Linked DNA regions of Styela clava. The protein of the gene in region 2 binds, or shares a complex with, the protein of the main gene of each other region. Links are inferred from orthologs where the notes say so. Each region holds a gene or a part of one and is shown on either strand. Other genes may lie near its edges.

Region 1 (6,341 bases), on a different chromosome or scaffold from region 2:
ATATATCATAAATTCCATAATTGAGTATTTCTGATACTTGCCTACTTTTAATTGCTGAGTAATAAACTAGGTCAGGTCTTGATTTTCGGAAGATTCACTGTTAAGCGTACTTTAATGACTGGCGATTTTATCATGAAATGACAAGTATAAACAACTTCGCTGTATTTTTGGGCGGCAACGTTTCTGCTAATCGAACGATTATATGAGATTATTCAAGTATTAAAAGAATGCGGCCGCAGGCAATGATAATGTTAAAATCCTTTCATATATCAGCGTGTTAAAAAAGTAACACAAAATTTAATCCTAAAAAGTTGAGAAAAACGCAAATTATTTTGTCATTGCAACAAATCACGTCACAGATATCGATTCCAACTAAACTCTTAACATAGGAATCTATAGCATCCTATTTGACGTTCAGTACACTCAGTTTTAAAATCTTCTCTTTCACGCCTGGTTACTATAGTTACCATACGCTTTCACTTTGCAAGCATGATTTCATTTTCACCTCATGCTTCCACAGTCTGTTGCTGATGTTTATTCCATGCCCTCAATAGAGATAATCCAGACAGACGGAAGCAGAGTTGTGAAATTTTTGAAAAAATGTGCAGAGCACATCCGTCGCGAATCGACAAGATCATCTAGTCAACTTCAAACTCGGGTTGATTACAACCTTCAATTTACTTGGAGTGAAGATTCCACTTTTTACACACAACGAAAGATATCTACTTGTTTCCATACCAGATAAATATATTAAATCACCAAAGTACACGCTAACGATCGCAAAATTTAGTTTTATTTGAAGGCAGTCATGTTTTTCTTTTAAGGCGCCGTGAGTTGTTTTCCTTCTAATTTGGCGCCGCACGAACAAAAAGTTTGGAAACCGCTTCACTAATATATTGCAATACGCATATCAATTATAAAAGAAAGAGAGTAAATTGTATAAGAATAATTATTTATTATTAGTGTTAAAAACATAATAATATAATACAGATTTATTATAATGTTTTTACACATTAGTGTTCTGTAACCGGAACTCCAGAATCCAAATCACATACATGCGGGTAACACACCAATGGTCGATATTAAGAATTTTCTACAGCATTTTATGATATAGGATTTCATATTTAGGTGTTATATTGTTTCAATGAAAACGAAACTGTTGATTATGATGATTCACGAAGTCACGAGGATAGTCGATGCTGTGAACACGTGAGAAGGTAAAATAGGAATGAAATATAAAATGGCGATTTCGATACCCGGACGTTTAGAGATTCTCCTATTTCTGATTCTACTTCAGAATTTTGAAAATCCTTTGAGAAGCACATTGTAAATTAAGGTCTGGTTTCAGCTTGATTCTAATCCCACTCTGGCAACCAGATTGTCTGAGTTGTCAAAACGTGCGCGTCAAGTTCTTCTATCGTAAATTGTTTTTAATACAACGACAATTTAACGCACAATTTACCAGTAGTTGTTAAAAAATATAGAAAATGATACTGCAAATTTGATGCCAATTTAAACAAATGTTTGAACAAGCTAATCTTACCGTAATGGCAGCGCTTTATAATATGTTGTATATATATACAATTACATTGTCAACAATGTTTAAGGTCAAGCGGTCATATTTTGTAATTAAGTTAAGTTCTTGAATTCGAAACTTAGTATTTTATGTTCCGGGCGGATTGGGGATTAAGTGTTTGGGCAAAACATTTTTTCGAAACACTTCTACTTTGAAAATTGAATTTAATTGAAGGTTAGATACGTGTACAGTCATACGATAAATTTGTTTCAATAAATTCGGAAACAAGATTTCAGTATGGAAATTTATAATCAAGTAAAGTAATTGAAACTTATAGCATTGTTCTCCCCATTGAATAATATTTGATATATTGCATGTACAGTACGATCTTTGTTTTGGTAACGATCCCTACTCTATAGAAGCTATTCAATGGTCCGGCAACTTTAGCGCGAAAGCACAGTCCAAGTAAGAAATCGTTGCGCGATGATCGATAAATCTAAAGTCTCTGTCAAGTGCCAATTTTATGATGTGATTCGTAATGTAACGATGATTACTACGGGAATGATTCCAGTAGCAAAGATGGCGATTGCTATACTTCCCTTCACAATTCGAAACACCTCACAATTTATATCCCGGTTGTATCGATGAGTGATATTCATTCATCCGTGTTTATTCGATTTTGGGGTAAAAGCAAACAATGGTAGTAATTTGGAATGTCTGGATCTTGATGGCGTTTCTTCTGCTACAAATAGAAACTCAGGCTGCTATAGCCTACTCATATTATTTTTAATCCCAATGTTTATATATAAAAGAGGTTTGGAACATGCTTCACTACTATCTCTTCCAAAGAAAACTATACCTTTGTTGAACAGATCATTGTCGCTGTTCTATGGATGTAGCATCGGACATCAGTACATTCTTGATGTTTTTTATTGTTAGGCAAATAACGATGTATAACTTGAATATTTTAGTCAATAAAAGTTCTGTTCACTTATGCTCTTAGTATTAACAAGACAATTTCATGCCATAGAGTCAGTTGTGGGATTCAGCCGGTTCGCATCGGTTCTATAGAACCGTCTCACGGAATTTTATGAGATCAGCGAACCGGTTAGCATTACTGCTTATTGTCAATGTTCTGTTTGTAACAGAACCGGCTGAATTATATGACTTTTGTGAAGGAACTGACTGACAAAAAATTTGAATCCCACCACTGCATAGAGTGTGCCATGTGGGAGTAAACGGTTACTGGAGCGATTTGATAACAGGAATTGAGCGTATTAGGTAAAAGATGAACCGGACACGAGTAAGAAGTACACAACACCAAACCTCCAGTTATTCCTATCCTGCTAATCTGTGCGTTAGTTGCCTGGCATCACCTTCTCAAAAATCTCCCGACTTTCGCGGAGCACGAGTTCGTATCTTCGTAAAATAAAAATCGAGAACAGCCATGGCGTAGTCTGTCAAGCTGGCGGAATATAAAAACGTGTTCTCGTGAATAAAATGGAACAGCCAAACTTTGGATAAGATATCTAATTTTATAGGATTTATAGAACAAGAGAGCTGTGCTCAAATATATGGAAACGTCACAAGGTGTCGCTATTATTTATTCTGACACATAAAAACGAATCTCTTGAAGTCCAAGTCCACAGAAATTTTTGAAATAAGTAAAAGTAATAGCCTTCTGGCAAAAAATCAATCTTTAACTACTGAAAATTTCAAAGCAATTGGTCCAGTATTTGAAGAGAAAAGCGATTTCATCATGGCGAAAGAGAATAATAACAACGACAACAACAACATAATATTGAAACGATCGTTATGTACTCTGACGTGTCCAAAAATCAGGAATGAATAAAGGTAATAGGCTTCTAACAATCTTCAACCACTGTAAATTTTAAAGCGATAGGTTCAGTAATTGAGGAGAAAGGCGATTTTTTCCATAACAAGAGAAGAAGAATTCTAACAACACAATACCAAAACGATCCACAGATTTATTTCGTGTCTAACAAGAAGAAGGAATACCAACTACAAAATATCAGATCGTATCCGAAAAAAAGGCATAGTGGGGTCGAAGGTCGGCGTAGATGTTCGCGGTGCTGTATAGATTTTCAAATTTACGTTTTTTAGACTGTTCAGCTTTTGGGTGTCAGGGGGATGGATATATTTGATACAAATGTCTACAAATGATACAAAAAAAAAAAAAAAGTCTATACAAGTGTATGTAATTATTAGATAAATAATAATTGGAAAAACTTTTTTTACATCCTTCATCTTAAAAATATTTGTAATCTTATACGGTAAATGATGATTATGAAAAAAGGGAATTATGGAAAAAATGAACGGTGATGAATTCTTCCTTGGAACAACCATGAAAAACATATTTAACATATTAATAATGTACTGTTGGTAATTTTTTTGATATTATTCTATTTGTTATTTTTTAATATATATTATAGCCTATATTCTGTATATTTGATCAAACGCGGAAATTGCTGTTCGATTATTTGAGTTGCATGTTGCATGGGTGAACAGGCACATGCATTTCTGCTGTTTTAAACCTTACTAAAGGTTTTGCCTGTTGTCCCGTCCCGATTTTCCCCATTGTTCTGTGTGTTCATCCTTATGTTTTGTGTGTTTGTTGTTTGTTTCGTGAATTTTTTTTTCAGGGAAGATCGAAATAAACTTATTATATTATTATAAAAGTTCAGTTTATGTCAAAATAAATTTGAATTTAATAGCACTAGGTTTATATCAAAATCGTCTGAGAAAAAACAAAATATATCAATAAGTGAGTTAGGCTAGTCTACTGGTACAATGTCACAATATAACAGTACGAGTACCGGTAGGCTATTTAGGTGTTATGGCATCACTGCATTAAGCTCCGCACAATCTGTCAACATACAGATTTAATTGAGTTGATATTTTTCATAGAGAAGTGACAAGTTCGTTCATAAAAATTGCTTTAAAGTCTTTATGCTGGTATGATGCAATTGCTGAATTGAATGGTCACTATGGAATTGATTCGGTATCTATGCAACTAGTGACAGAGTGAATTATGTACCGATATATTGAGAAGTGTATTTTTGACTGGTTTATTCGTCATGTATTCATGGAATTTTTATTCAGCCTATCCATATATGGTTTGTATGAATACTTTACTGCCTTATACTTTACACATCAATAGTATTATAATATAAAATTGATGAGTTTTTCCAGTTTCAATTTCATACCGTATAGTCTGATAGTCTAGGTATAATTACTATCTGTACTGTAGTTACAAAAGATGAGTGAGGAAACTGTTGAAGTCAACGAATCCAATGATGACATTGAGAACACAAATGATCACACAGATCAAGACGGAGAAAAAAGTGAAAAACTTTGCAGACTTCCTATTGCTCGTATAAAAACTTTGATAAAAGCAGATCAAGATGTTAACATTGCTAGTCAAGAATCTGTTTTCTTAATAGCCAAAGCAACCGAACTTTTTATCGAACAATTATCGAGAGATGTTTATAGAGTAACACAAGGAAATAAAAGAAAAACAATTCAGAAGAAAGATTTGGATATGGTGCTGGAAATTAATGACGAACTGGCATTTTTAGAGGGAACATTGGACTGATATGATTTTAGCAATCATATTGGAATGCAATACTTTATTTTGTACTCTAATAAGAAGTGTTCCTCATTTGGATTTTGCCTAAACTGCTCAATATGTCATGAAAGTGTGGAATATGTGATAGGCACATTACATATCTGGTTTTACTGTGTATTTACTGATATAAGCTTGCATTTGTCATCCTTGCTTATAATTTGGGAAAATTAACTTGGAAATTGTACTACTGCATCTAATTAGACATCCCAAACATTCTAGTTTTTCCTTGAGCTTTTGTTCATTAGATATTTTTTTGATTTGGTATTTCTTGTATCTATTTGAAGAAAGTTTAAAGTTACTTCTGTTAAAGCAAAATTGAATTTTTTTGCACAACATAATTGTTATACCATTTATTAGTAAGATTATCTTAGTTGTGCATATAATGTATTAGCACCACTTGAACGAAACGAATCTAGTATGTCTAAGGTTGAGTTATTTTTTTATATTCTACCTATTTTGTAATATGTTATATATTGTGACACTATCACTCTGAACATCAAAAACCTGAGATGGTGAGGTTTTACATTGAGACATGAGAGATCTCGTAGTATCAAAATATGCAGGGTCAATGGATATGATTCTGGCTACTGCACAAAATGAACTGCCATTTACACTTTTTTCTCTTTATTTCTATGGTTATATCATGATCTATTAGTATGGATGAATTATCAGATCATACATTAAAATTTTCCGGGAATATAAATACTACTCTTTCATCATCATTCTCATCTTCAATTGGCAAGACTGAATTAACAGATTCATCGACAGCAAGTTGTTCATCGACTCATGATCTAGTAAGAGCGACATTGCAAGATGTGATTGGACTTCAACACAATGCAATAGAACAAATGTTAGAAACAAAAGAGAGACATAAACTTAACTATGTTATGAAAACAACTTATGACGAGGTAAAATTAGTGCGAGTAGCATCAAATAGTAGATTACCTAAATACCACCAAAATTCAGGTCCCAATCACTAATTATTTATTTTTAATATTCAGTTATTTTTTTTATTTATCGTAGTCTTAATTTGTTCATTTTAACTTGTTTTGTGTTTGGAAAAATTTGAGAAGATTTGAATGTTTTAAGCTTTTATTGTGGGAAAACCTGATTTGGCCCAGACCCACCCAGACTCTGCGTCCAGTGGCCCCTAGGTAAATTAGTTCGAGGCCCCTG
Region 2 (7,567 bases):
TTCTTGCATTATATGCATGCGGATCTAACCGCACAAAAGCATATATGAAGCAGCTCATTGGAAGCAGTTAGTCCCGTATAAGAGAAACAATCGATAACACAATTCTGTTTCACACAAGTTGACAGTTCGACTGTAAAACTGTGGCCTATTGGACCTGGTCGGTCATGAGAATATTACCAGTTGTATTTGATTTTATTGCTTCTTCGCACAGGTTGCAATAAACGCACTTCGAGTCCGCAAAGGTTTTCGCGGGTGAGAAAATATACTCCAGATAAAAATCAAATACAACAGAATTGTAACGAATTTCAAAATCGGAAATTCGCTGCAATTACGCGTTCGTTAAAAAGAGCCGACTTTTTCAGTGTATAATTGGCTTTCTGTCGCTCAATAATCAATCCAATGTCTTTCTATATTAATTTATTTGTGTTCGTGGTAACTAGCGGTTGCGTCGACTTACGACAAGGTGAAAGCATTTCTTCTTTAAAATGCCAATCGGCAATCTGTGAACGTAATAATGTGAGACTATATTGCCCGATTATATTTAATTTTGTTACATATTTTTGCGATCTTGCAAATTTGTTATCGTCGTTAGAAAAATCTCAATATCTGTTATAAATTTCCAGAAAGTACAACTTGATTCAGTACCTAATAATAATATATTTAAAATATATTAGTAAATGAAAAAATGAATATTCATCGCCTTGCTTTATTATTATTAATTTAATTGTGATCATGTTGGCGAAATAAAAGCAATAGGCTACTACTCAGAAAATATCATGACAATCCGTGGACACAAAAATGCGTGGTAAAGGCCCGATTATATTTTGTTTTGATTCATATTTTTGTGAATTCAACAAATCTGAGCTGTTCGCACAACGCTTACTAGTACTGTACGGCGTATCAATGTTGAGGCAGTATAGCAGGGGTCGGGAACCCATGGCTCGCGAGCCATATATGGCTCTTTTGGTGACGGCATATGGCTCTCAGAAAAATCTAATATCCCAAGACTAAGCTTACTATTGTTACGAGATTTCAAATTCTTTTATAGCCAAATTTGGCAGGAAATTCCCAATACGTTTGAGAACGCGCGTCCAGCACATGTCTATGTTATGTAAGATAATTACCAGACAGGCATTGTGACAAACAAGGGGATTCTGGAACATATATTGTGACATCACAGAGCGATAGAGTTTTCAAAACACTACGGAGATGCCTAAACGAAAAAGGGTGATGAGTATCGTAGATTTCCACATTGGGCTGCAAGTGAGCAGTGAGTGTGTTGATTTTTGAGTGAACATTTCAGGCCTGATTAAGTGAAGAAATGTTATATGGCTCGCACGGAAATGCAATTGAAGATATGTATATTCTATGGCTCTCTTGACCAAAAAGGTTCCCGACCCCTGCAGTATAGCAAACAATCCTAAGGGAAGATGCCCTGGTAATTCAGTATGTTCCCCAGCTTTTCCCTTTAGGGGGGGTGTTTCAAAATTTAGGGGGGGGGGGGGTAAATAATTTTCGATTAGAGATAAAACTAGGCTATTTGTATTCTTAAAAAAATGGTATGTATTTAAGAAACGATGTACATGGGGGGGGGGGGCCAAGTTGATTGACGGCGAGCCAAAATCCAGAGCAGAATGAAATTGTAGGGCCAGAAAAGGGGAGCGAGGAAAAGTGCGGGACGACACGGCTGGGGTTCAGGGCGCGCTTAAGCGCCCTGAGAAAATTCTGAGAAATAGGCACCAAAATAGGCTCTAAGCTTGATTTTTGATACACCTAGCATTGCAGTTTGTTATGTAATAAAATCAATAATTATAATATTTAACTGATAGAATTCTCGGGGAATAGATAACAAGCACGGCTTGCAACCGTAAATATATACTACCACGTTTCAACAAGTAATTTGCAACTGATAGTGACTAATGAAGTTACTTGCTCATGACATTGTATGAATGGCTACTTATGGCTTGTTTTGTTACACATTTCTAATTTTTTTGAACATGTTACTTTTGTATGAATTAAATTTTGAAATACGCTCGTCAACTGATCATAATGTTGTATTCCTTCAGAACTGAAATATTTTGTAAGGAGACAAATCGCTGAAGTTTGATTCTTTTCAATAAAGAAATAAAAACGCTGTCATTCATCTAAAAAACGTCTGTTTTCAGTTCCTAGTTTTCGTTTTGTGACATCTTTAAGCCTTCTTAATATATGGCTGACATCTAAAATACTGCAGTGTGTAATCATAATACCCATACCTATACATAAGATACCGGAATAATTCAATTGTTACGAAATAAACGTGCTTAAACTGTGATAATGATGTAACAATAGACGGTATCTAAAACTCAAAAGGTACCACATGAAGGGTTGAACTATTTCACTCAAGTTCGGCGGGCCATTTTAAATCGTCACACGGGCCGTAATTGGCCCGCAGACTGCGGTTTAGAACCCCTCAGTGTGGAATAGCACCTCAAAATTAGGGGGGGTGTTCGAAATTTTAGGGGGGGTGTTCACCCCCTATAGGGGGGGTGTAGGGAAATCACTGCCTGGTATACGTATACTACGGTAGCACCCGAAATTTCGCGTGTTGCAATGTCTAAAAAGCGTTTTTAATCGGTCGCGGACCATCATAAAACGAAACTTATGGTGTTCTCCGTTTTGTATTGCCGCTTTTCAATTTGGAAAATTCGGGTTGCCACCATCTATCGACGCGTGTGCCGACTAGTGTGTTTTCGTCGAAAATTCTTGAGTGAGTTGTGAAATCCAATCGTTTGATTATGGGACGCGCACAAGTGCAAGTGACCTGTCGCGTCTCCTGTTACCAAATTTTCGAATATTAAATTGCTATTCTAATAGTTGAATATTCGAATATATGCCCAGCCCTACTCAGTAACCAGTAATTATTGACTCGTTTAATGTTATGTGAATAAACTTGCTTTTTATGTTCTATGTAAATTCCAACGTAAATTGTAAATTGGCTGATAGTTAAGTTCCGCAAAATCGTTTGCGGCTCGCACGAATTTCTGGCTCGTTGCGGACTCATTCAAACGCTCCGCGGACTCATTTGAGATTGCAATGCGTCTACCAAAAATGCTTGAAAGCTAGAAACCAATGCAAAAAATACTTGATACGTTTGAAATTAAATATGCAAAGTCAACAAAAATCCGTATTACTGCACAAAAATTAGGATTATGTGAATTTTGGAAAATATTAAGTAATGCTGTATATTTTAGATATTGATATTATAATAGACTGTGCTGTTCGGAACTTTCGAAACTTGTTCTCTACAACCCCCCCTGTTTTCAGCCGTCAAACTCAGTTGGCTGTTAGTGAGTCCTCGCCCATTTTACTCCCGGTGTACCTACCTGACAAAAATGCTTTGTAATCCGGGATTAGGCTTGGGAATAAATGACTTTTTCAGCGAAAATTAATTTTCTCGTCTTTAATAATAAACTTCGGCAGCGAATGCTCCATGTAGTACCGGTAACATTCGAAATTTAGCTGGCGTTCAATCACTTCTTCAATCTTAGATTTTTAAAAACTTGAGAATAAATTACGTAAAATTAGCTTTCAGTTTGCATTTCAAGAATGGAAAGTATAGCAATGAGAATTACATCAATGGGTACAGGAAGAACTGTTTAAGGGCAAACTAGCCATAGTTCAATGATTTCAAACTTTTGAATGATAAACTGCGTCAAAATGGTTAGATTGAGAATGATCAAGCCGTTGTTAGCGATAGTGTATAGTCTGCTCGAACAAATAATTTCCAGAGAGGAGAGAGAGAGATTTATATTGGAGTGAGAAGTGTGAAACGCACACGAGTGCAGTTTCTAAAATATTTGTGAGTGTTTGTCTAGGTTAGCCCTGTAAAAAGTTTAATTGGCTTTCCTAGAACAAAAGGACCGATTTCCGAAAGGGCGATTTAAAAATTAATCATAACGATCCAAGTACATGTTCGGGCGTTTGGACTGGTTTTAGTAGGACTCGTTCAAGCGGGAAATAGGATAATAGTATCCTTTCTGCAAAGCATATAAATATATAATATATATTCTGTTGTGTGCTGGCGATGGCTTGCAACTAAGGACGAATTGCATAAGTTGTAAATATATTTCGTTTTATATATTCCTTGGATCCTTTATTCTGATTACGGTATGTGATTGTAACGTTAAGCTCCTATTCCTGCATGCAAATCTATATGCAGATATCAGGATACTGGGATATGGCGAAATGCTATTGGAAAATTTTCCCACCCTCCTGCCCTTGGTGCATCAGGCATTAAATACATCCTTACGACTGTACAATATATAACTTTATCTATTTTTAAGATCATTATTATTTAATGACAAAGCAACCTGTAGTTCTTGATTTTAGTAAAGTTAACAAAAATATAACTTAGTGCAGTAGTGTTATTATATTATTACTAATCAGATTCAGAAATATTTGATTTGAAACATTCTGATTCGATTGTAAAGGAATAGGCTATTTAAAAGATACATTATTCGAAAATACACTACTCATTATTTTAATTCTTATAATTTTTTTGTCATTTAGCCTACTTTTTAATTATTCAATCGGAATAAAAATATATTTCTGCTTTCAGTCTGGTTCTTATTCATTATTATTGTAATAAAACCATTCTTGTATTGATGGAGGCCTCTTTAAAAAATAGCATTGTTTCCGCTTTTAAGATGCATGGATTGTCACTACGAAGGTGAGTGATAATTTTTGAAAAGGTACACAGCACTACAGCACTATGGGATTGTAACATGTGGTATAGCCCAGGAAAGAGGAGTCAAGGGAAATTTGATTCGCTCTCTGTTAAAATTTTTTTATATCTTTTGTACAAAGTCCTCGTCACAAATATGTTATGTTTTAATAAAATAGTAAATATTCAGTTGCAGTTAGAAATTATTTGAAAATATGAATTTCCAGCGCAATCACAATCCTTATTTTGATAGTTGAGGAGGGGGGATTGCTTTGTATAAAAAAAATAAAAAATTTTGATTCATACTCAGACTTCTGAGTTCTGACTCCACATCTGTGGTGCGTTCTGGCTGTAATACTATTTAATTTCATAATATTTGAGATTTACTTGGCTAACTCTATTGCATGTTAGCTTATGACAAGATGGACGATGCTGTCCGCTAAACCTACCAGGCTTTCAGAATCATTCTTACATAACTTTTTTTTGCAGTGATGCCAGCAACTACTTAACTGAAATACTTACAGTTGTGAATGCAGTTGAAAGAGAAGATTGGATCGATAAAATTTTAGACGAAGTTCAAAAACAAACTTGTTAGTAGTCAATTTTTACACCATGTATAAAAACTTACTGCAGGGGCGGGCAAATTACTGACCGTGGGCCGGATCTGAAGGCCCACTTGTCTGCTAAAATTACGACTATAGTTTTTAGGAATAGAAATAAAAATATCGGCAAGAATAACGTACTGTGCCTCTTACTATTATATAAATGTTAGCCTAGATGTTGGACAACTGTTAATAAACTGTTTTTCATATTTAGTTTTGAGCCCCTGGCCCAGTAAACGAAGTCTATTACCTGTAACTGGCCCACTCAGAAAAGTAAATGTCCGACCCTGACTTACTGGCATGTTGAATTACGAAAAAATTTGAAAGTACCAAAAAAGGTACAAATATTCATTTCATTATTCGCTGAGGTAGGAGGAAAACATTGTTTGGCGTGTTTTACTAAAATTAATATTTATTCTGCTTTTTATCCAGATATGTTATTGCTTAATTTCTTTATTTCAATCGAGTGCATTTATATTATACATTCATATGTTTATGATTTCTATTCTTTCTGTATTCTGATAATATTCTGATATTATAATTCCTATTTAGTGTCAAGCAATATCATCGACGCAGATGTTATAGAAATTGCAATCAAAGAATGTAATGCAGAAGAAGATGGGGGGTATAGTATAGAAAGTTCTTTGTGTCTACAATGTTTTTTTTTATATTAGTGACATTTACTTCCATTGAATGGATGCACTTTCCTCTCACCCAGGATAAACATTAAAATTCTGTCCTACTGCGTCTATCTCTCCAATTACCTACAATGTACATTGCGTATCATTAGTTTCGTATTGCAATGTTTTTGGTGAATAATTCATTCCATCTTTTTTCGATTGTGTGTGAATAAAATTGTACGAAATCCAGAATAACCATTAATAAACTGTATTGTTAGTCAAAAGCAATATCCAATTTTGGTTCCAAGAATTTAATTTGTCTCGCGTTTTACCTTTCGTTTTTACAGTGATCAAGTATTCTCAGTGATCAATGCATTTGATATTCCAAAATATACATATTTGACAGAAAAGAAAAAATTTATCAAGTAAGGTATTTTTAAAAGTTGGTTTACATAGTTCATAACATTTGTAAGATATACCGGTAGCTTTCTGCAAGAGAATGTATTTCATTAAGCTATTTAAATGTACATCTTTTTAACCTTAGAAAAAGTGTATAGTTTATAAGGAATGGAAATTGGAACACGCATATTTTCAACAGTTCAGAGCACTGACGATATTGAAATTTGAATAAAGAGTGGGTGTGATGGCCTAGTTGTTAAAGCATTAGCCTTAACTGTGTCGGCATCACAGATGACAGAACTTGAGTTCAAATCCCATGCCCACCACTACACCTAGGTTGTGGGTAGGCAATGTCAAACAGGGAAGATTCCAGTTTTTTTTTAAATAGTAGCTTTTTAAACATTTGCTTTGGTAATAGGGTTATATCTTTGGACATTCAGCTTCAAAATATGTTTTTTTTAAATTATCGTATATATGTTAGTAGTATTCAATTTGATTCAGATATTCTGAGGCAAATGGTTGTGATGCAAAATTACTTTCCAAAGCCGAACACAAAGTAGAATTATTTCGTGAAAGATATCAATTATTACATCAAAGAACTATGAGGCATAAATTGTTCACTCCACCAATACCAGGTCAGTACTAAACATTTAAACAAGGATATCTATAACTTAGTAGCTGTAGCTTTGGTCTGTTTTATCTCAATCTACATGCACTGGTAATGGGTACTTACTGTCCTATGCTCTAATACTCTACTTGATCAACGACAGGTATGGAAGATGAGGCATCGAAAAAATTCAAATTAAGAACTGTTGAATATTTACTTGGTTGCTCTTCAAAATTAAAAGATGTCATTGCCCTCGGAATGTTATCACAACTGAAAGAGGTTTGTAATTTACACAACATTCCATGTTGAGTGACCTTCTTTGTATTACAAATACATATAGCAATTTTTTGCAGCAAATTTTTGATCTTGTTTATATATTTAAGCTCTTGTTCTCAATATATTGTGAATAAAAGTTAAAGGACATATAATATATATGCACAATTACCATCCTTTTAAATTTAAAAATTTACAGAGGAAATATTTCTTAGAAGATTTGACAGGAGCTGTTGAGTTGGACTTGTCACAAGCTGTAAGTTATTAGCATCTTTGAAGTTAGTTTTTGGACCTCTTCTTATGTGCAGAAATAGCAATCAATTTCATGATTGAATTGGTGTGAAATTCTTTGTAGATTGCA

What was found. Proteins that work in one complex are often made in the same cells at the same time.
Region 1: DNA polymerase epsilon subunit 2-like (region 2) and DNA polymerase epsilon subunit 4-like share a complex: the UniProt entries of both Homo sapiens proteins name them as parts of the DNA polymerase epsilon complex. The link is inferred for Styela clava from reciprocal best matches to the Homo sapiens genes POLE2 and POLE4.

Annotation. Positions count from the first base shown.
Region 1 is NC_135254.1:9,451,272-9,457,612, forward strand, and holds DNA polymerase epsilon subunit 4-like, read left to right. Parts: upstream 1-4,381; 5' UTR 4,382-4,796; coding exon 4,797-5,132; 3' UTR 5,133-5,820; downstream 5,821-6,341. Other genes in the region: spermatogenesis-associated protein 24-like, read left to right, coding at 5,822-6,073. UniProt on the Homo sapiens protein: Accessory component of the DNA polymerase epsilon complex. Participates in DNA repair and in chromosomal DNA replication.
Region 2 is NC_135253.1:16,331,402-16,338,968, forward strand, and holds the start of DNA polymerase epsilon subunit 2-like, read left to right. Parts: upstream 1-4,543; 5' UTR 4,544-4,646; coding exon 4,647-4,711; intron 4,712-5,194; coding exon 5,195-5,295; intron 5,296-5,859; coding exon 5,860-5,932; intron 5,933-6,274; coding exon 6,275-6,352; intron 6,353-6,827; coding exon 6,828-6,961; intron 6,962-7,096; coding exon 7,097-7,212; intron 7,213-7,405; coding exon 7,406-7,462; intron 7,463-7,567. UniProt on the Homo sapiens protein: Accessory component of the DNA polymerase epsilon complex. Participates in DNA repair and in chromosomal DNA replication.